3 linked regions of the Mytilus edulis genome follow. Each later gene encodes a partner of the first gene's protein in a complex. Links are inferred from orthologs where the notes say so. Each region holds a gene or a part of one and is shown in the gene's direction. Other genes may lie near its edges. The genes, in order: WD repeat-containing protein 20-like, WD repeat-containing protein 48-like and ubiquitin carboxyl-terminal hydrolase 46-like.

What was found.
Region 2: WD repeat-containing protein 20-like (region 1) and WD repeat-containing protein 48-like share a complex: the UniProt entries of both Drosophila melanogaster proteins name them as parts of the usp12-46 deubiquitylase complex. The link is inferred for Mytilus edulis from reciprocal best matches to the Drosophila melanogaster genes CG6420 and CG9062.
Region 3: WD repeat-containing protein 20-like (region 1) and ubiquitin carboxyl-terminal hydrolase 46-like share a complex: the UniProt entries of both Drosophila melanogaster proteins name them as parts of the usp12-46 deubiquitylase complex. The link is inferred for Mytilus edulis from reciprocal best matches to the Drosophila melanogaster genes CG6420 and Usp12-46.

The regions. Positions count from the first base shown.
Region 1 is NC_092346.1:2,400,154-2,410,459, reverse strand, and holds the start of WD repeat-containing protein 20-like, read left to right. Parts: upstream 1-6,255; 5' UTR 6,256-6,292; coding exon 6,293-6,541; intron 6,542-7,777; coding exon 7,778-7,960; intron 7,961-10,306. Other genes in the region: uncharacterized protein, read left to right, coding at 4,092-5,867. UniProt on the Drosophila melanogaster protein: Regulatory component of the Usp12-46 deubiquitylase complex.
Region 2 is NC_092355.1:81,253,838-81,264,704, reverse strand, and holds the start of WD repeat-containing protein 48-like, read left to right. Parts: upstream 1-6,144; 5' UTR 6,145-6,153; coding exon 6,154-6,213; intron 6,214-8,777; coding exon 8,778-8,918; intron 8,919-9,294; exon of another isoform or gene 9,295-9,467; intron 9,468-9,747; exon of another isoform or gene 9,748-9,845; intron 9,846-10,349; exon of another isoform or gene 10,350-10,702; intron 10,703-10,867. UniProt on the Drosophila melanogaster protein: Regulatory component of the Usp12-46 deubiquitylase complex. activates deubiquitination by increasing the catalytic turnover without increasing the affinity of deubiquitinating enzymes for the substrate.
Region 3 is NC_092351.1:8,876,859-8,887,700, reverse strand, and holds the start of ubiquitin carboxyl-terminal hydrolase 46-like, read left to right. Parts: upstream 1-6,540; 5' UTR 6,541-6,619; coding exon 6,620-6,628; intron 6,629-8,682; coding exon 8,683-8,763; intron 8,764-10,003; coding exon 10,004-10,223; intron 10,224-10,842. Other genes in the region: large ribosomal subunit protein eL21-like, read right to left, coding at 799-927. UniProt on the Drosophila melanogaster protein: Catalytic component of the Usp12-46 deubiquitylase complex.

The DNA.
Region 1 (10,306 bases):
ATAAATATATAAGCTTCATGAAATATTACATTTTATTGAAAATAAAACATGATCTTACAAGATTCAAGCATTTAAAAATATACAAATTTTGCTGAATCGGCACTTTTTCAAAACCATGCAATTTCAACCTGTTAGTAGGGGTATTGTGAAATCTCACAACTTTTTGAATTATCATAATTTCCTTTCATTTGAAGTTGTTAGTTAAGATATTTGTTATCATTAAGCTGTATTTTTTCTATAAAACAAAAAAAAAATCAGGTCAAAATACCCTAAAATAGGCTTGAAATGGCCATTTGTCAGTACAGAAATAGACAATTATCGAATGTTCGGCATACACAAATAATGGCTGAATATTTTTTCAAAATATTTTGCACAAATAGTTATTACATATAAGGTATCTAAAATACAAAATATCAGTCTGATTGGAATATTTTGGATTTGGACCATTTTGCATGATTTTATCACAGACTGGCTCTTAACAGTGTTATCATGATACGTGATATATGTCATTTTCCGGATTTTTGATCGGTAGTGAAACGTTTCAGTATTTGTTTTTGTTTTTTTCGTGTGGCCGTCCGTCTGTTATTCAGTATTTGTACGAGAACACATATGAAACTTTGCTTTCGACAATTTTGAATAAAACTTAACTGTTCACCTTTTATTTAGGGGCTCAATTAAGCAAAGGAAGTTCCCTTTGTATTATGAATCTTTTATGATATCAGAAATTCGTTACCGACTGAATCAGCTGTTGGATCATTTATTTTTAAAAACGTCTCCCGGCCGATCGTACGAGAACATTGTGGTCAATGCCTTAGTAGTTAAACACTCCCATTCGTTGTAGCAGTGACTTTCTATACTAAGTATATACTAGTATAGAAAGTCTCTGGTTGTAGTTATATACATGTCTGTTCAGCTGTCAACAATATTGAAATTCAAGGTCCTCGATAAAAAAAAAATTCTTGCGTTCTATGATCTTGCTTTATATGGTTTTTTTTTAACTTACCAGTTTGATTTCTAACTAAAATATCTTTAAATACAGATAATAATTGTTTGCATAAAAATTGCTTCCAGGATCCAGCAATACTGATGTTTCTTAAAGTAAGGAAATCGAAGGAAAACGGGTCATTTTTAGCCACTGATTCTATTTAGAAAAAAATCCGCGGTCACAATGTATTTAATGTTAATAATTATAGGTCAAAGTACGGCCTTAAAGACGGAGCTTTGGCTCACCCAGAACAACACTCTCAGCAATCTCAGCTTGTTTTTGCATAAAATTTGCTTCCAGGTTCAAGCAATCCTTAAAGTAAGGAAATCAAAGGAAAAAGGGTGATTTTAAGGCATTTTACTGAGAGAAAAAAATTTGTTTTTTTCAGTCGGCGGCCCCCGAACCCCTGCCTCCTCTGAATTAGAACCCTAGTTACGGCCCTGATAGCATATTAATCCTGAATACACCGTTTGGTGGTGCGCCTGTCAGATGCGGAACGTACAGATAAGGTAATCGGTAACAGGTGAATATACTATTGGTATCGGTATCGGACTCGAACCGGAACTTCTTAATTATTGGCAATATTAATTACGTGGAAAACAAAAGGGCCTGGAGTGGTGTAATTTTTAATCTACATCTTTGTACTGTATTAGTTATATATAAAGTTGAATTCTTTGATTCGTCGTTTTTACGTGATGACGGCTGACAAATTTTAGTATTATAGATATAGACAATATTTATTAGCACAAACTTCTTCTTCTTCAGGAAGTCCACCCTATCTGCAGGGTCACCGCATTTAAAAATTTTGTTTATTTCTAAAATAGCGTTATTTAAAATTCTATCTACTGGTTAAAATTTAAAATAATAGTAACAGAGTTAGAATAGGATAAAACTAAAAATTAGTTAAAAACAGGAACTTGTATGTACACTAAGCATTCAGTAAAATTATAAAATGGATAAAAGTAATATCTGATCAGTTGTTTAAATTTCTCTTAGCAAAGGAAAGTGAAAGGAACTACTAATCTGTACTAGCATGGAAGTATTATATTGACAATATAATACTTCCATGGTACTAGTAATTGGTTAAATTTATTGACTAGTATGGTTTCATAATTAGTTTAAATATATGTTATTTACATTAAATGGTTATAACCCGAATAATCCAGTCGTTATATTATGATCACTTCGATCACTCCATCCTCGAGAAAAGTAGTGGATAGAGGGGCGGAATTATTCGAGTTAAAATGGTTATGGCATACAAAATTAGGACAATAAACTGACAATAGTTAATTTGATTATAATTATATTAGCGTGACAGTGGTATTCATTAACACATTATTAATGTTCATAAACAATTAAAAAAAAAGAACACAAACAAAAAATTAGGTTGCATATTAAAAGAAATACAAGTTATACAGATGTTCTCAATAAAAAAACAATCATTAATATACGTTAGAAAATTCAATAAAAAAAAATTCGGGAAAATTTCCCGAATTTTTCATTGTACTAATGAACTCAAAATCGTTCAATTTTTTTTATGTCATGTTTTGAAATCCCGGACCTGCGCAGAAATATATTTATCAGTCTAGTAAAATATAGGTATCTCTCTATCCATGCTTTGATAATTTTTTTATTTTGTCCTTTATTTGCATACATACGTCTTAGTATGCTATAAATCAAATATTAAAATTTGTGAGTCAAATCGGTGGTTATGGATTTGACAGCTAATGTCCCTTTAAGGTGGCTCGTGGGTACAAAAATTTTAGCAAAAAATTAAACCTCTATTTTTTCATTACAAATTTTATTTATTACACTATTAGTTGTTACTTTATGATATGGTACAAAAAACAACCCAAAAAAATGATTTGGTTTGGCCCCAGATGACTTTAAAAATTGAAAAAGCTCCAAATTATCTCCCTTTGCTGCAAAAATGCCATTTTTTGGCCTTAAATTTGAAATATCTTTTTTAACTCATCGGTGACCTATATTTTTTATTATTGTTTTCAAATAAGCTGTACATAAACTAAATAATTGTAAAATTTAAGCGATTTCTTATATTAGGTTATTTTTTTATTTCGATATTTCCTCTTTTTCTCCTATTAGTTCAACAGAAAAAAAGGACATTAACAAAAATGTATGCTTCTTCCAGAGGCAGATTTTAGCTTAAATGAACGGTGACCCCATTTTTTTATTTCATTTTTCTTTTAAGTATATGATAAAGTTCATTCATGAAAAAATATAGCGAAATCCTATATTAGAAAAAAAAAATTATTTATACCCAGGAGCCCCCTTAATAAGCATTGATACATAAATTATATATACTAAAAAGTTCTTAAAGAGATTTTAAAATATTTAGCTGAGCTCATAATATAACATTCAGTCAAGATTTCATACGAAGGATTTATATGGGGACGAAGTCCCCAATAACAGTAGAAAATTCAATAATAAAAAAAAAAATCGGGAAAATTTCCCGAATTTTTCATTGTACTAATGAACTCAAAATCGTTCAATATTTTTTTATGTCATGTTTTGAAATCCCGGACCTGCGCAGAAATGTACAATGTACTTCCTTTTCCCGGTCTCGTTTGTATGAAACTTTGAGTAAAATATATATTTATCAGTCTAGTATAAAATAGGAAGGAACGTGCAATACCAATTTCATTTTTAATAATTATTTGATATGAAAAAACGTTACCTGATGATAGCGTTTCTTTGTCTATATTGCATATGACGTCATAATTTGAATAACGTCACAACTAAAATCCCTAACAACAGAACCAAAATCGGAAACGTTACGATATTTCCGTTTCTTATTTTTAACAGTGTTTGGAGGGAAGGACTTCTCACAAAACTTTATGATAACGGTGTTAAAGGTAACATCTGGAATTGGATTAACAATTTTTTAAAGGAAAGACAAGCAAGGTGTGTGATTAACAACCATAAAGGAAGCTGGTTTGAAACCAAAATAGGTCTCCCACAAGGATCAGTTATAGCTCCACTTCTTTTTAATATCTTTATCAAAGACATTTTTGCTAACCTATCATGTAAAAAGTGTAAATTTGCTGATGATGGTACTGTATGGATAAATGGAAAGAACTTGAATGACATGGAGAAACAGGTACAAAAGGATCTTAACATAATCCAGGATTGGACCAAAAAATGGAGAATTAATTTGAGTATTGAGAAAACAGAATATTGTATTTTTTCAAGGAATGGTCCAATAAAGAAAATGAATTTACAACTAGAAGGTAAATTGTTAAAATATAACTGTAATCCAAAAATATTAGGAGTCACGTTAGATGAAAAACTATCATTTCTCAAACACATCGAAAATGTGGAACAAAAGGCACATAAAGCAATTAGCCTACTTAGAATGATCAAAGGAGTTGCAAAAATTTCTACAAAAATTCTACTTCAAATTTACCAAAGTATTGTCCTTTCCACCTTAGAATATGCAAGTAGTGTTTGGCAGACCTGTGAAACCAATATAACAGACAAACTGAACAAAATTCAACGAAAGGGATTAGCTATATGCCTTAATGTTACTCCAACATCAAGTGTAGAGACTTTGGAAGTAGTTTCTGGAATCCTACCAATACATCTGCGTAGAGAAGAAATTGCAACTCGTACACTTGCAAAAATTAATTCGTATGATATCTCCATTCCAATAAAACAAATCCTGGATGACTGGAAAACAATTGACATCCCTGAAAAATATGTATCTCCAGTGGGAAAAATGATTCTTCAGGCAGAAGACATGAAGGTATGTACAGGTGTTGATGTAAATGGTATAGAAGCAGAATTTGAGTTTAATGGGATACGAAGATATAAATCTCCTCCAGATTATTGGAAAAACCTTGGAAATTCCAAATCAAGATCAACAGACCAAAAAAATGTTGGAAAACTCATTATAATGGAAAAATTAAGTCATCTTCCTGCAAATTCATGTATAGCATTTACTGATGGGTCCTGTCTTGGTAGTCCTGGCCCTGTAGGAGCAGGTGCTGTCATCTTTCCATCAAATAATCAACCACAAATTGAAATTAGTAAAGCTGTATCCAAGAAAGGATCAATACTACTCGGAGAACTGATCGCCATTAAACTTGTTGTTGACCACTTTTTAATATCAGAAAACAGACAAAACACAGACTCAATTACACTTTTTTCAGATAGTCAGACCTCAATCGGAATTTTAACTTTAAACTGGAAATCAGAGAATTACATCAAAGTCATAAGAGAAATTAAGAAAAACATGAAAGTATTAATGATGAATGGAATTCCATTAAATTTTGAATGGACACCTGGTCATGCTGATATCCAAGGAAATGACATTGCTGATTCACTGGCCAAAAAAGGAGCTAAAGAAGCTGAAAAAATAGAAGAACCATCAGAAGTAACCAGGCAGGATATAAAACGTGCAGCAAGAGAAAGTGTTTTAAGAAAATGGCAGAACCAATGGGAATCAAGTCAACGTGGCAGAAATTATTACAATTATCATCAAAATGTCTGTCAGAAAATACCAAAAGATTTACCATCCAAATGGTCGTTTTCAATTACTACTAGTTTGAGAACAGGTTATTGTGATCTAAATGATTATAAATCCAAAATTATACCATCATCAGACAAAAACTGTTCCTGTGGAGAGCCAGAAACTGTAGAACACTATCTTTTACATTGTTCTAACTATGAGGAGGCTAGAGAGAGAATGAGAACATCTATTTACTTTATTACAGGAAATATACACATGGATTTAGACACCTTATTAGGAATCGATGAAGAAGACATTAATAGAGACAATCGAAATGAGATATTGTGCCATCTGGAAAATTATTTAACGGAGTCTGGTAGATTCAAAAACACTATACAGCAAAAAACACTATAAATCTATATCAAAATTAAGTCAAAATTTTTTAAGCAGCAGCCACAATTTCAATTAAGTACATGAGTGAACATTACATATGTGAAGAAACTACAAAAGAGGAAACGTACACAAGTGTTTACAGTGTCATTTGGGACACTTACTAAAGACTAAAGACTAAATATTTTTAAAAGTTACAAAAAAATAATTCATACAGACTTCTTCCCCATTTACAGGTAATGCCTGCCTCATATTATCTGCTAAAGATATGGTAAGAAAAGTTGATAATTTGTGAATGAATTTGACCGGTCATCTGAAAATAAGCTTGTTTAGTTATCAAGTGAACATGTAAACAAACACACGTGTTATTGTTTACCTATTTCACGGAAGTTTACATGACGCATGCGTACTTATCTTATCCGGGCACCTGTCGAAAACTCAATTTCAATATGGCGTCCCAAAGTGAGGGCGGAGGAAAAGATGACATTAAAACTCACTTTGTAACCCGGGAAGGGACGTACAAATTGATGCCATTGTCAGAATATTCAAAACCTACCCGAGTTCCCTATAATGGTCAAACTAACACTCCATCCAGAGTGTCATTCATTAATGTAAACGATGGTTCTCCGTCGCCAGATAGGATATGTTTCAACGTTGGCAGGGAATTGTATTTTTATGTTTATAAGGGCGTAAAAAAGGTATATTTTGCAAAGTTATGTTACAGAATATAAAAACAACTTGCATAAAATATATATGTACTTCACAATCACAAAACACCACTCCAGGTATTGTAAATTTTGCACCAGACTTGGAATAAATACACATAAAATTTATGATGAAACCGGTATTTAAAATTGAAGTCCGTTGAGGTTTGAATATTATGGCTTTTACTGACATTTTTTTCTTTTGAAATACTAATGATTAATTTATTAACCCAAATTTGCATTCAAACAAATATCATTGCAGAGGATGCATTGTCATGTTTTATTATGTCTATGATGAATAGACCAATTTCAGGTTTGTCTGCCATAGAAGGAAATAAATGTTTTCCTGTAGTGCTTTGAATGCCAGCAGGAAACATTTGACAACACACAGTAAACCTGTATTGGTATAGAAGAATGCAGGGTTCATATAAATGTTCATATTTATTTTTTTGCAGAATTTGCATTTAATTTGTTAATGGATGTGAATATGGTTTTAATTAATAGCTGCCGATATTCAATGTTTTAGGAGTCAAATTATTATTATTATTTTCTATAAAAAGTCGTAGAACATACAATTATTTTTGATAAAAAATATTACTTTTATTGCATGAAACTTTTTTACACTGAACATTTAACATGCATCATGTTCATTGTAAACAAGGAAAATAACAACCTTGGTATTGGGTACATGAGGCGAAGAACATGATAAACAAAGAAAACAGTCTTATGCTTCTACATTGTATTTTTTACACCTGAAAGACATTCCCAAAATTCTACTATGTAGAAGTAAGAAGATGTGGTAAGAGTGCCAATCAGACAATTCTCCATCCAAGTCACAATTTGTAAAAAGTAAACAATTAAAGATCAAAGTGTAGCCATGTTTGTTAAGGAATATCATATATTATTAAGTAAAAAATGAGGGGTAGGAAAATGTCAGTCATCAATAAAACAGTTACCCCAAAAATACTCATTAACATAATTGTCATAATTGACAATAAAAAACTCTGTATTGTATTGTATCAGCATGATCAAGAGTTCAACATACAATGTATATATACACCTAAAACTCATAAAACATCAACATGATCAACATACACCTAAAAAATCTTTTAAGGACAAATTTAGGTCAAACTCATCCAGTTGTAATTGGAAAAAAATATTGTGTATTGCTATGCAGTCGAATCGTGAAAAATATGAACAAACATATAAGATTTTGTATTTATTCTTCAGGCTGCAGATTTGACAAAACCTATAGACAAGAGATTATACAAAGGGACATTTCCTACATGTCATGATTTTAATAGAATGATTATATCCAGTGAGAGTGTTAGATTGTTAGTAGGCTTTACTGCAGGACAGCTACAGCTTATTGATCCTATAAAGAAAGAGCTGGGAAAACTTTACAATGAAGAAGTTTGTATTATTAAGTATTTAAATGTCTACTCTGAAAGAGGGGGGAAGGGAGGGATACATATTATGCCCCATGTTTTGTACCTCCTTGCTTTTACTACGACTTGATTATAAGTGTTTCTATCCACCTTTTGCAGTTCATTCAAAATTCCTACACAATGCAATTTGTATTAAAAAACTTATAAAGCATATATATATATATATGTATATATTTATATATCATACAATTCTTTTAGACAATTTAATACGATTTCATTTCTGCCTTTAATCTTTAAATCTAAAATGGGTAGGAGTTACTGTACAATAATCTGTTGATTATGATTTTTACCTAATTTTTTGTTTTTATAAATAAAATAATAAGACTTTGATGTTTTAATGAAATAATTTGCTTAAAAAGTGTGGTGAGGGAAAACCATGGTATATTATATGCAAATTGATGTACCATACTTTGCTAATTAAATATGCAACTCAACTAGAATCCAAAGGAAAGAAGGCGGAGCTTAGCTATGGTACAACATATTCATTTTCATGATTTCCATGGCTGAAGCTCCACCTTTTTTTGAAAGGTGTCCGCCTTTGAAATTTTCAGGAAACTGAAAAATGTACTAAAAGGTCAAGATCTTCATTTGTTTTCATTTTATAACAAAAAGCAATAAATCATGTGTACCCCATCTCAAGAAACTTTTTTCAAACTATATAGAATTGTTACGAGTTCCCTTAATTTTGGAAAAAATATTAAATGTTTCTTCTTTCACTTGTGAAAAAAAAAAAATGTAATACTATCGTTTCCTTTGCTAAAATTCAATGAAATTACGATTCAAATAGGGGGTAACTATACATGTACATGTAGAAAAGAAATAAATATCGGGAACAAAAATCTGTGAAAAACATAATTTTTTATTTGCGATCAATTAGGGGGGTGTACACTATCTGCGGTCCCTTGATCCGACACTGTTTAAATACAGTGTTTTATCATTAAAATTGTGTTTTAATAAATAATCTAAAAATCAAAATAATGAAATAACGGAAGAAAAGCAGTTTGTACGAAAACTATACATGTATAAATATGCATTTTTCAATTAGATGAACAACCTGTAAGTTATGATTAATTTTATGATACCTTGAAACTCAACAAAAAACAATAATCTTACCGCCATTAGAATAATAATTTAATCCTTGTCCCTGGAATCCGACATTTTTATTTACTTTCTGATGACCTTATGAAATTACCTGCCTCTACGATCATACACGGGGCGCAAAACTAAAAAATCGGGAAAATCCGACATTTTCTTGACTTTCTTCAAATTTGGGGATTCTATTACATGAAACACACAGAAGATCATACCGAGGCGCAAAAGTGACTTGCACGAGCTTCCATTTCATTGGATAAAACTGTAACGTGATCAATTTACAATATTAGTTCAAGGTCTTGAAGCTGTCAATCATTTTATTTATATTACAAATTTTATATACCCTGTGTCTTACTCATTAACATATTTAAATAAACTCATCCTTCGGATTCGTTTGTTTAAATATATGTTAATTGTAAGAACCATGTTATATATAGTACTTAGCTAGACAAGATCTGCATATATACATTGTACATATAATACATGTAGGTCAAAAGTGCTGATAATTGCATTGTCAGTCCACTTCTTAGTTATTTGCCCTGATGTACAAATGTACATGTACCCTTTGATGGGGATGGGGGATGGGGGTATTACAGCGTCCTTCACAACAATATAAAATGTGGAAATTTTTGGAAGGAGTTAAACCGCCGGACAAAAAGTTAAGATAACTGAAAATCAAAAGGAAGATCGAAATAAAGTATACGAAAGTGACAAAAGGAAACGCAATTACCAAAAATCATGGGAAAAAGATCGTGAATGGTTGCATTATATAGTAGATCGAATATTTCTGGACAGCGCTCCAGACGACCTATAGTCAGGCACCCTATGGTCGTCGTGAGGATTGCGATGACGTGGAAGACAATGTTGGATATTTTTTCTGTCCTTGATCCTGATTTTGATAAAGAAAATTATTGAGATTACCAAAGCCTTTATCAAAATCAGAATAAAGACTATTCCTTTGTTTAACTTGTGTAAAGGAAAGCACTAAAAATAAAATTAAACATCTGTTATTTATATTAGTGTTTGTCAAATTAATGTCATTTTTGCAGGACCAGTAGATTTGGAGCCGGACCAGTAGAGTTTTCAGTCCACTGGTCCAGCTGGCCAGTACACAAAAAAGCTTAAATTCGACCCCTGACCTAGTTATGTAATTTAGGCAAAAACTCTTAAAGACGGAGAGAAACTGAAAAAGAAGAAAAAAGATCAGCAATACAATATA
Region 2 (10,867 bases), on another chromosome or scaffold:
TGACGTTAAGTGCAAAAAAAACGTTCAATTTTGACGTGGTAACATTTCGGGGAGACACGGACAACTTGATAGAAATTAATGAAAAATTTAGTGTTTCCTTCGCATTAAAGGCATAAACGAATCTTTAATAAAATCACATTTCAGGAGTATCATTTGTTTCATAGTTCATTTGTCTATCACAAATTTAAAATACCCTTAATTATCATGGTACTGAAAAAATCTTGAACAATGGCTCTATGGTAACATTTAAGGGAGACACGGAAAATACTGAAAAAAATAAAATGAGAGAAGTTATGTTAGAAATAAAAGTGATGTCGTAAAATTCAATAAAATCACATTTTCATGTAGAGGTGGCGAACCTTTTCTATGATTTATGTGAAAATATTATAATATCGAAGTGGTTGCTTTCATTTTTGTATACTTGAATTTTCAAATCTTACAGCTCTATGGAATTTCGGAAATGACCGCTAAATTGCGAAGTGACATAATATTTATCGTGACCGTTTCACATCATGAATATGATCATATTATATCCCACCTGTACAAATTTCATCGAATTCCATTCAGTAGTTAGTATTTTTTCTTCCGTTTATATTTGAATGGTTAGTAATTGTTGTTACGTCTTACACGGCAAAAAATGGAATTATGGACATGGAATTTTTGCTTAATTATTTTTTTTAAATCAGGTTTTATCTAATTTCGATTCAAATGATGAAACAAGACAAGTAATTTTTTATAAAACGTAGAATTGATTAGTTTTTGTCCTACTTATGCATCAAGAAATGGTCAAATGAAAAATTGACCGAATACCGTGCGTAACGTCATACTAGTTCAGTGATAATGGACGTCATACTAAACTCCGAATTATACACAAGAAACTAAAATTAAAAAAGCATACAAGACTAATAAAGGCAAGAGGATCCTGACTTGGGACAGGCGCATACCAATATTATTGGCTAAATAGTGGCTGTAAGTAAATAGGTCTGCCTGAATTGTACAAGACCGATTCTCAGAGCTGAATTTTTCACACACGAACTGAAAAAAATATAATATCGCTCTAGACATACCAATACATATTCAGTTAAAGTTGTAATGATTGAGAATATAAATTACAGTTCAAACTGCACAGTCCAAGTACATATAACGTAATCGACATAACTTTACGACAAAAGAGATGATTTCGTAAATTTTACGGACGCCATCACGAGTTGGTTGATTGGTAAGGAATACCTGGTATATAAGATGATATCGGATATGTTCCTGATGCCGTAACTGTAATGCCGTCCCCTTTTCACGAATGTGACCTACCGAATTAGACCTTTTACCTTTAATTTTTACATATTTACCTATTGTGTCTTTTTGATTTGTTCACGCATCATTATCAATATTATAAAATTAGATGGATCTGTCGTACAAGTAAGAGGTTTAGCGCTAAAAAACCAGGTTTTAGTCACCATTTTCTACATTTGAAAATGCCAGTACCAAGTCAGGAATATGACACTTCTTGTCCATTCGTTTTTGATGTGTTTTGTCATTTGATTTTGCCATGTGATTATGGACTTTCCGATTGGATTCTCCTCTGAGTTCAGTATTTTTGTGATTTTACTTTTTAAATAACAGTTTAGCTCCACAGTTGCAGTACGTTGAATGACAATCTGGTTTCATGGACGTATAGCTATTGTGACCAGACTGCACCAACAATTAATTAGAAATAATTTGTCTTAGTACCTTTTTAGTGTGTGTTAGCGCAGCCAAAAAATAACAATAATTTTCAATATTGTCAAAATATGTATGCACGAACGACACTCCGCATAACTAAAAGTAACAACCCTTACAAAACAAAACATGCTTACACATGCATATATTTCCATGGCGAATACATTAGAAGATACATTATTACCTTTACTTTTTGACAATGTGCGCTCCTTCAATTGTGGAAATCAACGGATCTAGACACGTTTTTAGTTTTTTTGTAACTTTCGAGGTAAAGTGTTGAATTTAAAAAAAAATGATAGTTTTAATGCTCGTTCAAGATTATAAAAATATTTACACGCTTATATATTTTATTCCAATTAAAGGTTCCATAAGTTCTGAAGACTTATTATAATGATGTTTTAAAATTGAGAGACATGTGTTATTTTGACAATCATATATAGATATGGATATATAATCAACTTTATTAGCTCACCTGGCCCAAATGGCCAAGTGAGCTTTTCTCATCACTTGGCGTCTGTCGTCCATCGTCGGCCGTCGTCGTAAACTTTTTACATTTTTGAACTTCTTCTAGAGAACCTCTAAATTAAATGAAACCAAACATGGCAAGTACTGACCAAGTGTTGTTACTTTGTAGCCGATCCATCATCCAAGATGGCCGCCAGCGCCCTACGGGAAATACATACAAATGTCTTCTTTTAAGAGAACCACAGAATGGAATGGAACCAAACATAGCATGAATTTTCCTAATGAGATGCTGACCAAGTGTTGTTACTTTTTAGCCGATCCATCATCCAAGATGGCCGTCAGCGGGGGACTTAGTTTAGCATGGGACCCTATGGGAAATACATACAAATGTCTTCTTTTAGAGAACCACTGAATGGATTGTAACCAAACATAGCATGAATGTTCCTTATGAGGTGCTGACCAAGTGTTGTTACGAAAGCCGATCCATCATCAAAGATGGCCGCCAGCGGGGGACTTAGTTAACATTGTACCCTATGGGAAATACATACAAATGTCTTCTTTTAGAGAACCACTGAATGGATTGAAACCAAACATAGCATGAATGTTCCTTATGAGGTACTGACCAAGTGTTGTTACGTTGTAGCCGATCCATCGTCCAAGATGGCCGCCAGGGGGGGGGGGCTTGGTTAAACTTCGGACCCTATAGGAAATACATACAAATGTCTTCTTTTAGAGAACCACTGAATGGATTGAAACCAAACATAGCATGAATGTTCCTTATGAGGTACTGACCAAGTGTTGTTACGTTGTGACACGGCGACATATAAAAAATCGAGGAGCAAGTGATGAGAACTTATTTTAATAAGATTGAATGAAACCAAAAATAGCATGAATGTTCCTTATAAGATGTTGACCAAGTGTGTTTACGTTGTAGCCGATCCATCATCCAAGATGGCTGCCAGCGGGGGACTCTGTTTAACACACTACCCTATGGGAAATACATACAAATGTCTTCTTTTAGCATGTTTAGAAAAGCACTGAATGGAATGAAATAAAACATGGCATGAATGTTCCTTATGAGGTGCTGACCAAGTGTTGTTACTTTGTAGCAGATCCATTATCCAAGATGACCGCCAGACGGGGACTTAGTTGAACATGGTACCCTATAGGAAATACACACAAATGTCTTTTTTAAGAGAACTTCTGAAAGAAATGTAACCAAAAAAAACAATATTAAACCAAATTTTGCCTAAAACATCATTATAAGTATCTGTTACAAATTTTTACATTTTTTAATATTTCAAAATCCCAAATAGAATCAGGTGAGCGACACAAGCTTTAGGGAGCCTCTAGTTCTATATTCTTATTGGCCTCAGCCAGACCAGAGTCATACGCATGTGTAAAAGAGCAATATTGAAATATTGTTGTTCGGTGTGAGCCAACGCTCCGTGTTGGAGGCAGTACCTTGACCTATAATTGTTTACTTTTATAAATTGTTATTTGGATGGATAGTTGTCTCATTGGCACTCATACCTCATCTTGCTATATCTATATATAAACAGATAAACATAAATTTTCAAACATGTAGTAGGAATAATTTTCTAATCGATCAAATTATCAGAAGACCATTGTCGATATATTGTGGAAAGACAGTATTTTCATTTAATCTTTGAGATATTAATATAGCATTAATATAAAATAGTTTTACTATTAACAATAACCACAATAAACCTATTTCTCGTATCAAACATAAACTAAAAGAACTAGCCAAGGAATTTGTTTTTGTCCCGATCGATAAAGCTGCTTATAATATTATTATTGTTACATTGAGGTTCTGAAAAAAGAAATCACCAATTCACCAACATTCCAACTGACTCCATTTTCAGAAAACGACATCTGTAATAAACATAAACTTTTAGCTACCACTTTGATGGCGTGCACAAAGCTGAGTCCAAAAACGTAACGTCTTTAAATTACTAAAATCATTTACCGCTATTTTCCCCCAGAAAACGTAAGCGTAACAAAAACACTGGACAATTAGTTTATCACATAACTTTAAACATAAACGTTCAACATATTTCTTTTTCTTTCGAATAACAAAGTACAGCAAATGCACATTCTGAAAATGTTAAAAAAAAAATATGCTTAGAACAGTGTAATGGAGACAATTAGCGACTATGTCATGGACCCTAATAACAAAAATAGCGTTAAAACGTCATTTCTTTAATCTGTAACATAATGGCTGGACAGTTTGGAAAATTCAGGTGTTCAGTCTGGACTATCGAATCCTTCTTATATTGCAATTTTTTGAAACCTCTTTTTATGCACATTTAGAATATCAAGTCATTTCGCAATATGAAAATAGCAAGTACATATTTATTTTAACGATTCTTCCATGTTCTAATATTAAGCTTTAAAAATGTCTACTTCTTACATATAACGAACTTCATTTCCAACACATCCTCCATGGCCAATTTGGATTTTTTTTAGGTAAAGTTCGTTTGACTTTATAGTCTGAATCCTAAAATATCTACTGTACGAAATGCAAGAAAGTACGTTAAATTTGTACAAATTTCAGGTCAAAAACTCTATTTTATGCTTATTTAATGTTACAAGTTACATATGTTTTTGCCGTTTCCATGTTTGTTTCATACTTCATAGATTTTATTTTGAGAACTTTTTTTAATAATTTGGATGTTAATGGCTAGTGTTCATCCTTTCATCATAAAAAAAACTTCCTGTTTGAAATGTATGATTTACATGGTTGTATAAAGCTACTTTTAAAAGCGCATTTTACAATTGCCGTCAACTCTGTGCACGCCGTCATTACAAGCAGAACCAAAAACAACGAAAGTCCCAACTATGTATTGGATTCCGAAGCTACACAAAACACCTTACAAATATAGATTTATTTCGTCTTCAGGCAAGCCATTGTTCCACTACTAAATTGTCTATTCTTCTTACCAGTACACTTGGTACAATCAAAAACCTGATAATAAATTGTTCAAATAAGGCCTTCGAAAATAGTGGAATTAATTACTTTTGGAGTGTCAAGAACTCGTTGGAAGTACTTGATAAATTGCATGCTTATATTGGTGATTTTATATCTGTTAAAGTTTTGATTTTTCTACCCTGTATACCACATAATTTGCCTCACATTCTCATTAAGAAAAAATTCACCCACCTAATTAAATGGGCATTTAAAAAGTCTGAATGTGAATATATATGTTCAACTTAATTACTCTTTTAGGTAATTTTTTGGTAGCAATAAAAAAACAAAACTTTGTCAATTGGACATGCTTTGATACTATATATGCCCTTGAATTTTTACTAGATAACATTTTTGTTCGCTTTTGAGATTCCGTATATCGTCTGCAGGTTATCGGAATTCCAATTGGGACTAACTGTGCACCACTTATAGCGGATCTGTTTTTGTAATGCTATGAGTTACAATTTATTACAAAAATTTAGCAAAGACTGACTATCGAAACAACATATGATAAAATCTGATAATTAGAATGTGATATGCCGTACAGCTTTTCCCCATGGTTTGTACTCTCCCCTGAGGTACTCTCAGTTGAAATAACTTCCACAAAATAGCGTCAGCGTTAAAATATTTATCCAAAGACAGTGTATTTTATAGATATTTGTAAATGTGTTTATTTCTTATCTTTTTAATAGGAAGTTGGTATAAACTCAACAATTGAGATAATTTAATCGGTTAATGTAAAAAAAATGTATAAAAAATTGAACGCAGCAGAGCTAGATGAAAAAAAAATGAGATATTTCGTGCTAAGAATTAAAATATGTTTTATTGAATAGAGAAGAAGTGGGTTTGGGTCGCTAGAGTTACTATCTCCAGCTTTATCATTAGAAAACCTGGAGACAAAATTTTGTGAATCCGGATTAGGCTAGTCCTTCCGATACCGAATTACGGTTAGAATTATTCCCGAATTTAGTGACGTATTTCACATGTTATCAATGGCTACACACCACAGAAATTCGGCAGGACAAGGCAAAAAGAAAGTTCAGGTGACTGACAAGCTATCACAAATGTTTGGTGCAAAATATATTTGTTTCTGAAGAACTTAATACATATAGAAAGACGTGGATACTTTTGGACAATGTACTTTTTTATTTAAGAAGTCAGAAGAGTGAGATAAAAAAAAAAATTATACCAAACACATACTATGAATATGATACATGTGTAGCTGCGGAACCGTAGCTCTTAGTCTGGTCCTTATGATATTGTATGACTATTTGCCTACCGTATCTCTTAGGTCCTCGTGATATTTTTTTACTATCTTTAGACCAGTAAAAAAATATAAGGACCTAACTGATAAGAGCTACCAAACAAGGCACTTTTTTCTATCCAAGTCCATGGAAAAATCCACTAGGCCATACTTAAAAATATATTGGTTTGCCCAAACCCTACCCAAAGGTTGAGACAGTGGGTAGGTAGGTAGGTAGGCATTTTCTTTTTTTTTTCAAAAAAAGAAATTGAAGTATCAGATGTTTATTAGTCTTCATGCCTATTTGATTAAAAAAAAATTCTTCAAATCAGGACAATAAAAGAATTTGAGTAGGCAGTTTTTATTTTCTGGGTAGGTAGCGTTAGGGCAAACAAACCTATTATTTATTATGGCCCTATCAATGTATATTTATGTAAATGAAAAGTGTTATTTACATGCAAGTTTTTCAGATGTTTTATTTCACTTGATTTCCAGTTTTGACGTTTTAAAATTTCTTGTTTTTGTGTTAAAGTAGATGTGCGTTCTCCGTTTTTGCCCTTGTGTTTTTGTGTTGGTACTTTTTATTTCTCGTGCTTGTCCTGTATTTGATTCAAAGGTCAACCATACTAATTCTGCCCAGATATTGTATGTGTATGGTACATATATGCAATAAAGTCCATGAGATTACTATAAATTATATATTTTTCAAAACCAGGTGCAACTTATGGACACAAAAAAGTTGACTGCAGGGTTATCATTTCTGTTAAATTATGACTGCATAATCAAGTATTTTTTTCATTAATGTTTATGATTTTATTTCTCATGCTTGATGTTTTCCTGATTTTCTTAGGCCTGTTTATGTGACGTATTATGGTTGTCCGTCGTCAACATGTTGGAAATTTTCAATGAATCTTTGGTGAATTTTGTATATCTATTGACGTGAGCTCCTTTTCTTTTTTATAAATTTTAGATGTTACATGTCCAAGTTTGGGTTTTTTATTCATTACAAAAAGTGGGATTTCCCAGTTTTCAGACAATAACTCAAAAACAATTTTACCAAGAATCTTTGGCACATTGTTTACATATATATTGACATGAGCTCCCTCTGGATTTTTATAAATTCTAGAGTTTATGTTTTTAAGTTATCAGGTTCTATTCATTACAAAAAGGGGGATTTTTCCAACAATATTTTTTAATTTTAAAAATGCTTTGAGTAGTTTTCCTGAAATTTTAGTGAATTGTTTATACATCTATTGACTTAAGTGCCCTTTCAATCTTTGAATTTTTATAAATTTCAGATTTTAAGCTTACTAGTAATGGGATTAAATTAATAAAATAAAAATTCCTAAGGGTTCCACGGAACCCAGTGTCTCGCCTACTTTTGCTGTTAATCGCAGACTCAACAAAAATGAGGAAAAACATCAATAAAAATTTCCCTCTCAATACTGTCTTTTGATTGAAAGAAGCTTCCAAGTAGGTAAAAAAATCCAGGATACATGTAGTTTATGAATCTAATAAATGTTTTATAAACTTTAACTGCAGACTGTATGTAATGTTAACTGGAAGAAAAACTAAGTCCAGTTATAAGTCAAATATGGAAAAGTGGAAATTTATTTTTACAAAATTTTCTTCTTGATACTATCTTATGATCATAAACATGCTTCTGTCCAAGTTTGGTACAAATCAAGGATAGTTTATGAAAGTTATTTAAATTTTAAAAACTTTAACTACAGAGTGAATGTAATGTTTTCTCGCAGAAAAACTAAGTCCATTTATAAGTAAAATATGGAAATGTGGAAATTTATTTTTACAAAATTTTCTTCTTGATATTATCTTATGATCATAAACAAGCTTCTGTCCAAGTTTGGTACAAATCAAGGATAGTTTATGAAAGTTATTAAAATTTTAAAAACTTTAACCACAGCGTGAATGTAATGTTTCCTCGCAGAAAAACTAAGTCCATTTATAAGTAAAATACGGAAAAAATGGAATTTTATTTTTACAAAATTTACTTCTGGATACTTTCTTATGATCACAAACAAGCTTCTGTCCAAGTTTGGTAGAAATTTAGTATAGTTTAAGAAAGTTATTAAAATTTCAAAAACTTTAACCACAGAGTGAATATTTGTGGACGCCGCCGACGCCGATGGAATGTAGGATCGCTTAGTCCCGCTTTTTCGACTAAAGTCGTAGGCTCGACAAAAAGGTTTTTTTTTTAGTTTTCTCTCACAGCTTGGAAATAATGAGGACCATTTCTGGTGTATCACTGTTATAACCAGATCAAAGATCCTGGATCAATGGAACACATAATTGCAGAATATTAATGACCCACTTATTAACAGTTTCATCTTTTTTATTTGTTAGGTTTCTTTTGTTATCCGAGATGAAGTTGAACGACATCACAGATCTGGGATTAACTCCCTTCAGTTTGACCCACTTATTAACAGATTATACTCGGCTGGGAGAGACTCCATCATCAGAATATTTAACACAAAGACCAACAAGGTAAGAACACATTATCAAACAAGAACAAGGTAAGAACACATTAACAAACAAGGAAGAAAGGAACACATGGAGGTTGTTAGAAACACGAAAAACATGTGCGATAACAAAGACACAGATATAAAATAACACTAAGAAGGCAAACACAGATAAAAGGAACCAAAAAAAAAGGAATCAGGTGAAAATATTGCAGATGAAAATAAAAATAAGAGGACACCTGGACACACAACACAAGAAACTGAAATTGAAACAGGAATAAATTGACGAATGTAGGAACAGATGTAATGAGGACAATACACTTTATAAAAGTAGGAACAGTTTAACACACAGACAAATAAGGGAAATACTAAAAACCTACAAAAGTACAATGTAAACATATACAAAAAAGAGCAGAGATGACAAATCAGAAAGAAACAAAATAAACTCACAAGTTAGGAACAGACTGACAAATACAGTAAGAATATGCAAATGAACACATTAAGAACACAACTGAAAAGAAGTTAAATACATTAAAAATGCATAAAAATAAAATCCAAGAACTAGTTGAAGTAGGTAGGAACACACAATAAAATCCAAGAACTAGTTGAAGTAGGTAGGAACACACAATAAAATCCAAGAACTAGTTGAAGTAGGTAGGAACACACAATAAAATCCAAGAACTAGTTGAAGTAGATAGGAACACACAATAAAATCCAAGAACTAGTTGAAGTAGGTAGGAACACACAATAAAATCCAAGAACTAGTTGAAGTAGATAGGAACACACAATAAAATCCAAGAACTAGTTGAAGTAGGTAGGAACACACAATAAAATCCAAGAACTAGTTGAAGTAGGTAGGAACACACAATAAAAGACCACAGACAAATTAAGAACAAAAAAATAAGAAGACGCACATTATTACAGAAAATGTAGGAACACACAGCCAAACAAGGTAGGAACACACTAACATATGAGGTTGGAACATACTGACATACAAGGTAGGGACATGAGAACAAACCAAGTAGGAACACACAAGCATACAAGGTAGGGCATGGGAACAAACAAGGTAGGAACACACTAACATATGAGGTTGGAACATACTGACATACAAGGTAGGGACATGAGAACAAACCAAGTAGGAACACACAAGCATACAAGGTAGGGCATGGGAACAAACAAGGTAGGAACACACTAACATATGAGGTTGGAACACACTGACATACAAGATAGGGACATGAGAACAAACCAAGTAGGAACACACAAGCATACAAGGTAGGTACATGAGAACAAACCAAGTAGGAACACACAAGCATACAAGGTAGGTACATGAGAACAAACCAAGTAGGAACACACAAGCATACAAGGTAGGTACATGAGAACAAACCAAGTAGGAACACACAAGCATACAAGGTAGGGACATGAGAACAAACCAAGTAGGAACACACAGCCAAACAAGGTAGGGCATGGGAACAAACAAGGTAGGAACACACTAACATATGAGGTAGGAACTTACTGACATACAAGGTAGGGACATGAGAACAAACCAAGTAGGAACACACAAGCATACAAGGTAGGTATATGAGAACAAACCAAGTAGGAACACACAAGCATACAAGTTTATGACATGAGAACAAACCAAGTAGGAACACACAAGCATACAAGGTAGGGACATGAGAATAAACTATGTAGGAACACACAAGCATACAAGTTAGGGACATGAGAACAAACCAAGTAGGAACACACAAGCATACAAGTTATGGACATGAGAACGAACCAAGTAGGAACACACAAGCATACAACATAGGAACATGTGACCCAAGAAGAAATACAGGGATAAACAAGGTAGGAACACACAGTCAAACAAGGTAGAAACACAGTAACAAAGTAAGAAAATAGGAACAAACAAGATAAAATAAGGAGACAAGGATTGAAGAAACATATGGTCAAATTAGGTAGGATCATGGACAAAAAGGT
Region 3 (10,842 bases), on another chromosome or scaffold:
AGGACATCTAATTTACATGATAAAGGAAGATTATAATTAAAGACAACAATTTAACAAGAAATAATTCCTTTTTATTCAGTAAAAACAAAATCTTCTTGCAAGATTGTAAATTCGCAACTTCCGGATCCATTTCCTGTCAGAATAACATTGAAAATATTCGATTGCACATGGTTTTGAACAAATCTACCTGAATATTCTTATCAGATATTCGATAACACGATGAAATTAACATTGAGCATATAGGTAAGGGTTTGGTAGTACAAACAACTACAGCGTAAAAAAACTGTGCCACTTCACTTGTTTTACTTCTTTACGTTCGTTAAATCAGAAGATAAATACAGAGAACATCGAATATCGATTAACTGCGTCTCTTATACGCTTTCTTTTAATCTTATTCACAATTACTTTCAAACGCAAAGACGACAAACATTAAGTTTTGTACGATGACGGAGCGGACCCAAAAAAAATCAGAAAAAAAAAATTCTTCCAAAAAACGTCAAAAAAAGAATTTGAGTCGGCGGGTTTATTTTGGGTCGGTCGCGTTTGGGCAAACATACAATCTTTTTATTTTGGCCCCATTGTAGTTATTCAATTTAAATTTTCTCCTTTGTCACCATCTAATATTCATTATTTAACAAACTATATCTTTAGACAACCCAGTTAGCCACTAGAAGGTTGGACAGAAATAAAATTCGGCTGGGCCACTTTATTAGATATACTTTCAACACTCAACTAGTATAATCAGTGCCTATTGTTACTTGCTTCTTTAATGGTATCCTTTTTTTAATAATAACAAACCTTAATATCGACGATGTCTCCTCGTTTGTATATTTTCATGTACGTAGACAGTGGAATAACACCATGCTTCTTGAATGGTCTTGAGAACATATAACGTGTACCACGCCTATAACCCTTTGTGTTGGTCATGATGAAGTCTACAAATACCAGATAATAAATTATTATATATACATGTATGGATTGCCATGGATCATATAATCATGTACTGAAAAACTTTAATCATGGTTAGAGAGAATCATGTGACTGCTGTGTAAAAGTTAACATGGACTGCTAAAATCCAAGTTAATCTTATATTAGTAAAATACAGATATCAAAGCATTTTCTCTGCAGTAATCGAACCAATTTTTAAAGCTTGTAGGAAACATTTTTTTTTTTAAATCATCTGCACATTTTTAATTCATTATATAAATTTTGTAAATAATTTTAACACCGCCATCAAAGTTAAGGGTAAGTGATTATGGCTCAAAAAGTAAATTAATGAACAGTCACAATCTAAATTAAAAGCAGAAACAAAAAAGATCAGGCTCAAAAGTCATCATTTTTTCTACAAATTTAAAATTTCTAGTGTTATTTTTTTTCAATTTTTAACTTCCAGCTAATGTCTATTGAGAATCTTCAACAATTAATTCAAAAGTGATCAAAATCACTGATAGTAAAATTTGGAAAAAATTGTGTGCCAAAATTCAAATCATAGTCTCAGTGTCAGTCACACCAAGTTTATATTGTAGTGAATAAAAAAAATATGATATGATATTTGTACTTGAACAAGAAATCTTTATTCACTTGAAGAAGTAAATAAAATATAAATGCATAAGTAATTTTAATGTTTGAAAAATCTCACCCTTAATTTTCTCAAAAATTTACTTGTTTAAGAAAAAGAAAAAAAAATCGCAATCCCACAAAAAGTTTTGAGATGTATAAACATGCCTTGAACAATTTTTCTGTGGTTAGCTCAAATTTTTTTATTTCGAGTTTTATGTTTCATCTCATTTTTGTCAAAAATAAACTGATTGAGCAAAGATCACAATAAGGTTTGGTGTTCGCATTTCGGCCTGATGGATTTTTCAAATATAATAGTTATTGTGCAATCAAATTAATTTTTAGACAGTGGAGTACTAAATTTTGAGCAATCAAAGATGGTTTATAAGAATATGCAATTATACCCCCGAAAAAAATGAGACGAGACATAATTTTGAGTGATTTCTTGATGGATACAAATGTATATATGTAAGGCCTAAAAAAAAAAATATGTGTTTCCGGTAACATCATTTTGAAAAATAGGGTCGGTAGGTCGGAATTCTTTTTTTTTTTTTTTTTTTTTTTTTTTTGACATTGTAAATGAAATCCGGAAAATTATCATGGTTTTTCCAAGTGCGGATCCGTAATTAGTTTCAAAACCCGGAAGTGTGCCATTTGCAATGTTTTTGAAGCACCTGCTGTGCAAATTTCTTGGATTTTAACCTTTTTGGAATACCTTTTGACATTAATAAAATGTTTTACTGGCTTTCTATGCAAGTAGAAGCAAGAGAGAAAAAATATTATGTCATCTATCAGAAGCCTGTGTCAAAAACGGGGTCGGATGATACAATTTTTTTTTTTTTTTTTGAAGATCCAAGAAAAAAGTTAGGGTCAGGGCTAAAAAACAGGGTCGGTCGGGTTACCGGAAACATCGATCTTTTTTTTCTCGGCCTAAACAGTTTCAGAAAAGCTATGGATTGAAATTCTACTTCTGGTAAATATTTTGGGAAATATGAGACGTCTTTTTCACCCTTTTTGCAATTTTTAACACAAATATGCAGATTGTTGCCATAGACCAAATTTTTTTTTATATTTTACCATTTTGTCTACTTCATATAAAATTTATAGAAGATTCTGATTACACAGGTACCTGTGAACATATGACACAATCAGTAAGCTTTGAAAGGGGGAAGGCAATTTCTAAGAGGGTAAATTTTGATATTTTTTCTTAATTTGTTGTTACTAGAATATAACGCAAGCCCCTAAGAGTAAGAACTACAGTTCCACAGCTATTGGGCTAACCGATTTAATGAACACAACAGCTCAATACGAAAACTTTAAAAATTCTATATTAAAAGGATTTAATCAAATTCCAAATGGAAATATTGCAATGACATTTTTGAAATTAGTACAATGTACTTCAAACATAATGTGATAATTGCATGTGGTCAAAGCCAAAGCGAAGAAAAAAATCGTTCCTATCCTGTAGAACATAGGATTTTTTTGTGATATACATTTAGCATTTGTATAAATGTGATAAATATTTGTCGAAGTGAATATTTATTGACAAAACAAAACGGCTTAAAAGGGTAAAAATGGAAAAAATATTCCGACAAACACGTGCAACAACCTTTCTGATTTCTGACCGGAAGAAAAAGGAAGAGACATGCGCAAATCAACTAAATTTCTGTCCTCAATATTTCGGCCCAAGATATCATTTCGGCCTTCATTTTTCCATGATACAATTTTTAATGCAATATCATTTTAAAATTTAAATGCTTTCTTCTATATTCTTCTGAAATAATACACTTATAAACAGTAAATATATAAAGGCTTTCATGTACAACATTTCACTTAAACTTATATCATTAATCTTGCAGCAGAGGGTTACTGCTCACAAGGAAGCTATTAAACCAAGAGTTCCAAATGGTGAAGTTGAAATCATCCCTTCGTAAATTTTACGGACGCCATCACGAGTTGGTTGACCGTTATGGAATAACCGTTTCACAAATGATATCGGATATGTTCCTTACGTCGTAACTACAATCCCCTTCCCTTTCATGTATTACGTACATGGGGGGATATATACTTGCCTCCCCATGCCGCTAAAGTTATATTTGCTTAAGAGCAATAAAAACACATCTATTTCCATAGCACGTTTATTTCAAAGAGACAGATAACATCACATGAAAAATATGCATCAGCATCATACAAAGGGACACAACTCTCACCACTAAACTACAAAACACATACGACCATACAATACATATACATAACACATGAATGTGACCTACCGAATTAGACTATTTACCGGATTTGTAATCACATAAGCAACACATGTGGAGCAGAATCTGCTTACCCTTCCGGAGCACCTGAGATCACCCCTAGTTTTTGGTGGGGTTCGTGTTGTTTATTCTTTAGTTTTCTATGTTGTGTCATGTGTACTATTGTTTTTCTGTTTGTCTTTTTCATTTTTAGCCATGGCGTTGTCAGTTTGTTTTAGATTTATGAGTTTGACTGTCCCTTTGGTATCTTTCGTCCCTCTCTTATATGATGCCTATCAAATTTCGGTGTCACTGTGTGCCGGTGTCCTATGGGTGTCTTAGCTATAGCCATTCTTCCCCCATGCCAAGTTTTCCGGGGGGAAAATCTGGATCGATCCGATATTTCCCCCCGGAAAAATTGGCATAATCCAACTTTCCCTCTCAGCGTTATAGGGGGGAAACGAGGATCAGGCCCCCCCCCCCACCCCCCTTTTCCCCCTTTGCGACATAAGAAGCTAGTTTTCCCCTTGTAATATAACGTCGGTGACGTTAGTTAGAAATATTTATCCTAATAGAACATTTTTTTTTATTAGTTTAGCGGTACCAAAGCTTTACGGAGTCGTGTTAGTATACATTTGATATATATTTATATATACATGTACATACATTTTATCTTCATACACACGAAGTACATGCTGATGTGATGATCACATCTATTCTTTTTCGTGAACCCTTGGTATCCATGACTAAATGAACACAATTACTTATACCACGTCTTGTCGATTTGAAGATTGTTCCCTGGACAGACGTCTATGATGTCTCCGACATACAATGGTGAAATGACTTTACATGATATATCATGCTTAAGACCACGTTGTAAAAGAACCCATCAAAGGCACGGATAGAGAAAAATACTCGTCGCCCTAAAGCTTTTATTAAGGAGAAGTCCGATACGGATGACACTTCATCAAACCTAAAGAAGATATGTAAACCCTCTCCAACAGGCAGGGGAGACGTGGAATTAAGTACAGGAACTACCCCCATTAGTGTGAGCTGTACAAGATCTACAAAATATCCCGTCTGCCCTAAATGTGCTAAGGGTTGACCACGATCCAGCACTAATGATACAAATATCCATCTGTGTTACACTGACGTCGGTAGTAAGTAATTAAAGGCCACCGTACGGCCTTCAACAATGAAAAAAACATATCATTGAGTCCGCTATTAAATGCCCCCGACAATAAAAATTTGAAAACAATTCAAACAAAGCTAACAGCCTTATTCATTGATACCAAAATAATTTACGAAAAAAAAACTTGACAGACATGAACCATGAACAACAACCACTGTACTGCATGTTCCTGGCTTTGGAATGGGCATTGGCAAATAAACACTGATGTCATGAATGTGGTGGCCATAAACTCAACTCTCCCCAATAAACCCAACCTAGGACAGCACAACGAAAAAAAAAGAAAAAAATGTAAAATATCAGTTACAAATGGCTTCCCTACAATGTATATAAATGGCCATGGCTGCTCTTTAATTCTTGTATTTGTTCTAAAAAATGTGTTTTGTTCACTGCAGACGTGTCATGTAAGAGGACAATAGATGATGCTTGGTATGATAAATGAGTGGTATATTGTAAGTTTAGAAAGTCTTTCGAGATGAGTGCCAATTTTGTTAAGTACGTTTTGTTGTGAAAAGTAAAGTCACAAAAATACTAAACTCCGTCTTCACATTTTATATTGAATCCATTTAGGTTGAAGACCATATTTTGAGTGTGTGTTTTTTACCTATGACAATTGCCTGGAATTTTTCTGGGTTTGCCTGCATTTTGTTGAAAGAGAACCATGAATTCAACCATGATATTAGGGAGTTACCGTCTTCCTCTAAGGGTTTAATTGTTGATTCCAAACGGTTGTACTTTATTTTGAGAAATTGTTATCATCAGCATAGTTATATCAATCCCACTTGGTTTGACAAAAGAAAGATGTCATTACGAATACATTAAATAATATAGGGCCTACTGTATAGATCCCTGAGGAACACCTTTATAAATATCTTGCATTTGACTGATACTCTTACCTATTTTACAAACTGTTTTCTTGTAGTCAGATAATTTTTGAGCAATTCAAGTGCTGAGATGGACTAAGCCCTTATTTTCCCAGTTTACAAAGAAGTAGATGATGAGGACGACAGTTAAAAGCATTACTGAGATTCATTAATGTTGATGCTAAGTATTCATTATTGTCCAGTGCCTTTTTCCAATCTTTCAAAATGTTAACTTTAATGTTGTCATAGCGTTATCGAAAAGCGGCAAGGAAATGGTGGAAATTGATCTTGAGACAAGTTGATAATGATAAATTAACAAGCTGTGTGATTGGTTTACTCACTACAGGTTTACTTAAACAACTTGTAAATTTTTTGGTGATAAACCATCTTTACCAGTTGATTTTTTACATTTATTTGACCAATTCCTTTCGAAACAAATTGTTCATTTTAATATAAAATCAGTGAAACAATAAGTTTATTTAATGCTGACTCATTTGAGTATAGCTTCTATACTTGAGCACATGCCATTCACATATATGCTGTTGTCAGCGATGTTTTAGCAACATTTGCAAAAAGTAAAAAAATAAATATCCGATGGACCAACTAGGACCGAAATGTAAAAGGCCGAAACTAGTATACGAAATTCCGAAATATATGCTAATTTCCGATCCGACTATTGGTTTCAATTTAGAATAATTTAGATTTCAAAATGGACGTCAGATTTATTGACTTGAGCCTGCAAGTTTAAATTATACGATTTTTCCCGAATGAAGATGGTAAATTGAAATTATAAATTCTTAAACACACTTATATTAATGTTTTTTTGACGTAGAAGGATTGTGTTCAGGGAAAATGAAAACGAGAAAGCCGTACAAGACGTCACAACTGATGTCGTGATTAACTGCAAGCCTTAAGGTTCATCATAACAAACGGACAAATATGGCTGTATTTACATGCCAAAAATTACTCTGAGTGCAGACTCACCTGTGAAGTTGGAAAAGTTTTAATGCCTAGCATCCACTAGATATAAAAAAGTTAAATCCATTTTGTGTTTCAGAAAGATAAACTCTCTTTTGGATTTTGATGGGCATTTTTTTTCCTTCATGCAAAAGGTGTGAAAATTTACTAAGTTGTGGAACAACTATGAGATGCTCCCTCAGGTAAAAAACCGGTTTGTGTTGTTTTCATTGTCCTTAATTGACATAGACACCAGGTATCTTCAGAACTATAGGTGAGTTAAAGAGTTTATCTGAGTCAGTGAGTGGACAGTATCAAAGTAATGCAGGTGTTTGTTTATTTTTGCACCTTCTGAAGAAAGGAAAAAAAATGCCCAGCAAAAACCAAGAAAGATTTTATCTTTCTTAAACACAAAATGCATTTAACTTTTATATATCTAGTGGATGCTAGGCATTAAAACTTTTCAAACCGCACAGGTAAGTCTGTACACAGAGTAGTTTTTGAGGTAAAAATACGGCCATATTTGTCCATTTGTTATGATGAACCTTAATTATGTCTGTCGTTCTGAATAAAACAGGTTAAGGAGAATCACTCAGATCCTCATAAATATTTGTTTAATAACCCAAAATAGGTATCGACTTTCAATGATTAAATATCTGAGGATTTCAAGACATTTGCTCTAATGCTCTCATACTATAGTCATAGTTGAAATTAAAATAATATGAGGCAGGCATTACCTGTAAATGGGGACAAAGTCTGTATTAATTTTTTTCTAATTCAAACATGTTGATAAAAGAAACGGAAATACCGTAACATTTCCAATATTGGTTCTGTTGTTAGGAATTTAGTTGTGAAGTTGTTTAAGTTATGACGTCATATTCAATGTAAACAGAGAAACGCTGTTATCAGGTAACGTTTTATTCATATCAAACAATTATTAAAAATGGGTGTTGAATTCCGTCCTATATTTGTTGATATGTTGATGAATATACATTTTATTCAAAGTCTCATGCAAACAAGACCGGAACAGGAAGTAGATCTGAAGAAAAAAAGTAAACGATTTTGAGTTCATTAGTAAAATGAAAAATTCAGAAAATTTTCCGGATTTTTTTTTTTATTATTATTGATTTTTCTACCGTAATGGAGACTTCGTCCCTATATAAAAATTCTATCAGAAAATTACGCCATAATTTGACAAATGGGCATTGACGCTTTCTGGTCTCTTCTTCCAAATACTGCCCACATTCAACATAATGAATGTTCTGGTCTGTTGGGCATGATTAAAAACGGGTTAAAACAGGAAATTAAGGGACAGATCCCTTTTGCCTTTTTGTTTCTTGAAGGAAATGAATATAAAGTTTTACATTTTGAAAAAGCTTTTTACAACCCCAAAATACTCTAAATCCAGCAAGCACATTAATTTTCTTCTACTTTTTTCATCTGTTAACATGATCAAGCTATCTGTCATGTCTGTTTGCATATGAGACACTACATTTTTAGCACACATGTATGTCACTTTTTTTATTTTTGGACACTTTAGATTTATTTAAAATAGCAAATTATCAGTCATTCAGTGTTCTGTTCAAAGGGTTTTACCAATATTCAATAAGCAATCCCAATTTTATTTTAATTAATTGATCAGGACAAGTAAACATCATTGAAAATGTTGCATACATTACAAACTCAAAAACAAGCCACACCCTCCTTTTAGACATCTGCTCATGCAAATAAAATGTACATGTACAATGTTCAATACGTAAAGGATTTTAAAAAATGAAGATGGATGGCATGGGATACATGGTAGTTTCAGTAGTAACAATGTATAGAATGTTAGGAAACACAAAAGTATGTTTCCATTATTTTCTGTTTGCAGGGGAATAATCCTTCACAGCTGGAGAAAGAAATAGGTACAGAACAGTTACCCGCCAATGAACATTACTTTGGTCTGGTCAATGTAAGTGATAAATATAAAAATAGGTACAGAACAGTTACCAGCCAAGGAACATTACTTTGGTCTGGTCAATGTAAGTGATAAATATAGAAATAGGTACAGAACAGTTACCAGCTAATGAACATTACTTTGGTCTGGTCAATGTAAGTGATAAATATAGAAATAGGTACAGAACAGTTACCAGCCAATGAACATTACTTTGGTCTGGTCAATGTAAGTGAAAAATATAGAAATAGGTACAGAACCAGTTGCCCACCAATGAACATTACTTTGGTCTGGTCAATGTAAGTGGTAACAAATTCAGAAATTATCAAGTAATATTATAGGTTAATGCTGATATGAAACAATTTACAAGTAACATACGTGTTATTTCATGAATTTATTATAACTATCACTTTAGCATGTTTAGAAATATTTTTAATATTAATAATTTTAGTAATAAGTGAGAAATAGATATCACTTGGACAAGAAATATCTATCCATGCAATTTTAATGTGCGTATTGTTATTGTTTTACTTTTCTACATTGGCTAGAGGTATAGGGGGAGGGTTGAGATCTCATAAACATGTTTAACCCCGCCGCAATTTTGCGCCTGTCCCAAGTCAGGAGCCTCTGGCCTTTGTTAGTCTTGTATGATTTTAAATTTTAGTTTCTTGTGTATAATTCGGAGTTTAGTATGACGTCCATTATCACTGTACTATTATGCATATTTTAGGGGCCAGCTGAAGGACACCTACGGGTGCGGGAATTCTCGCTACATTGAAGACCCATTGGTTGCCTTCGGCTGTTGTTTGCTCTATGGTCGGGTGGTTGTCGCTTTGACATATTCACCATTTCCTTTCTCAATTTTAAGAAATAGTCAAATAGGCCACAACCATAAGAGAAAAGCATTTATGGTCTTCAAACTCATGCATATCCATAATAAACCACTCTACCTTGTTAACACATTGTAGACAAAATGCATATTGTTTTATGACCTCTTTTAATACATGTATGTCAAAATACTTAAAAATAAAATCAGCATAATACTCACTTACATGTATGCATAAATTATCTTGGTATTTTTTTTCTTAAATTTATTAAACATGTTTGCACGACCAACAAGAAAAGAGAAGCTTTTGCAGTTGTCAACTATGTAATCAAGAGGTTGGAGGTTGAGATGTTATTTTAAAAAAGCAAATTAAATAACTTTTTCAAGGGAATGTACACTTCCTGACATTTCTTGCTTATTTTTTTTTTGCAGTTTGGTAACACATGTTATGGTAACTCTGTGCTGCAAGCTTTGTATTTTTGTCGACCATTCCGAGAGAAAGTTTTACAATTTAAACAACACCAGAAGAATAATAAGAAGGAGACATTATTGACTTGCCTGGCTGATCTTTTCTATAGTATAGCTACACAGAAGAAAAAAGTGGGAACCATTGCCCCAAAGAAATTTATCACAAGACTGAGAAAAGAGTATGGTATGTGATCACACATTATATTCATACTCAGGGCTTATAAAGGATGTGGGAACTACTATTAAAAAAATGTCTTTAAAATTTTGTGAACCTCTATCTTATTCTATTCTGCAAATTTATTTACCACAACTTTTAGGTTAGCTACATGTACTTTAAGTTGGAGGAATTGAACAAAATCAAATGAAAATAGAGATAAACAAAATTTATAAATTAAAAATCACAAAATCACAAAAAAAGAAGAAATGTAGGGGCGATTCTAATTTAAGTTGAAAAAGAACAGTGAAAGAAAAAGAAGAAATTATGACCAACATTTAACTAAACACTTCATAGAATATTCAGTATTATACAAACTTTAAAAAGGAACTAAACAGATCAGCTGCATGCAAGGGCTCTATAGCCAGTCGAGGTCGTTAAACACGTCCATCGTCGACGTAGCTGCAAGAAGTTTCAATGCATATACAATCTTGTTTCCTTTTTCAAAGAATTCTATTTATTGAGTTTATCCTTAATTATTAGTATGTGAGTTATAATTGCCATTAAGCAAGCATCAATCAATCAATCATTTGTTTTTGTCATCTCTTTAGTTTGATAACAACAAATAAACCAAAACACATATTTTCAT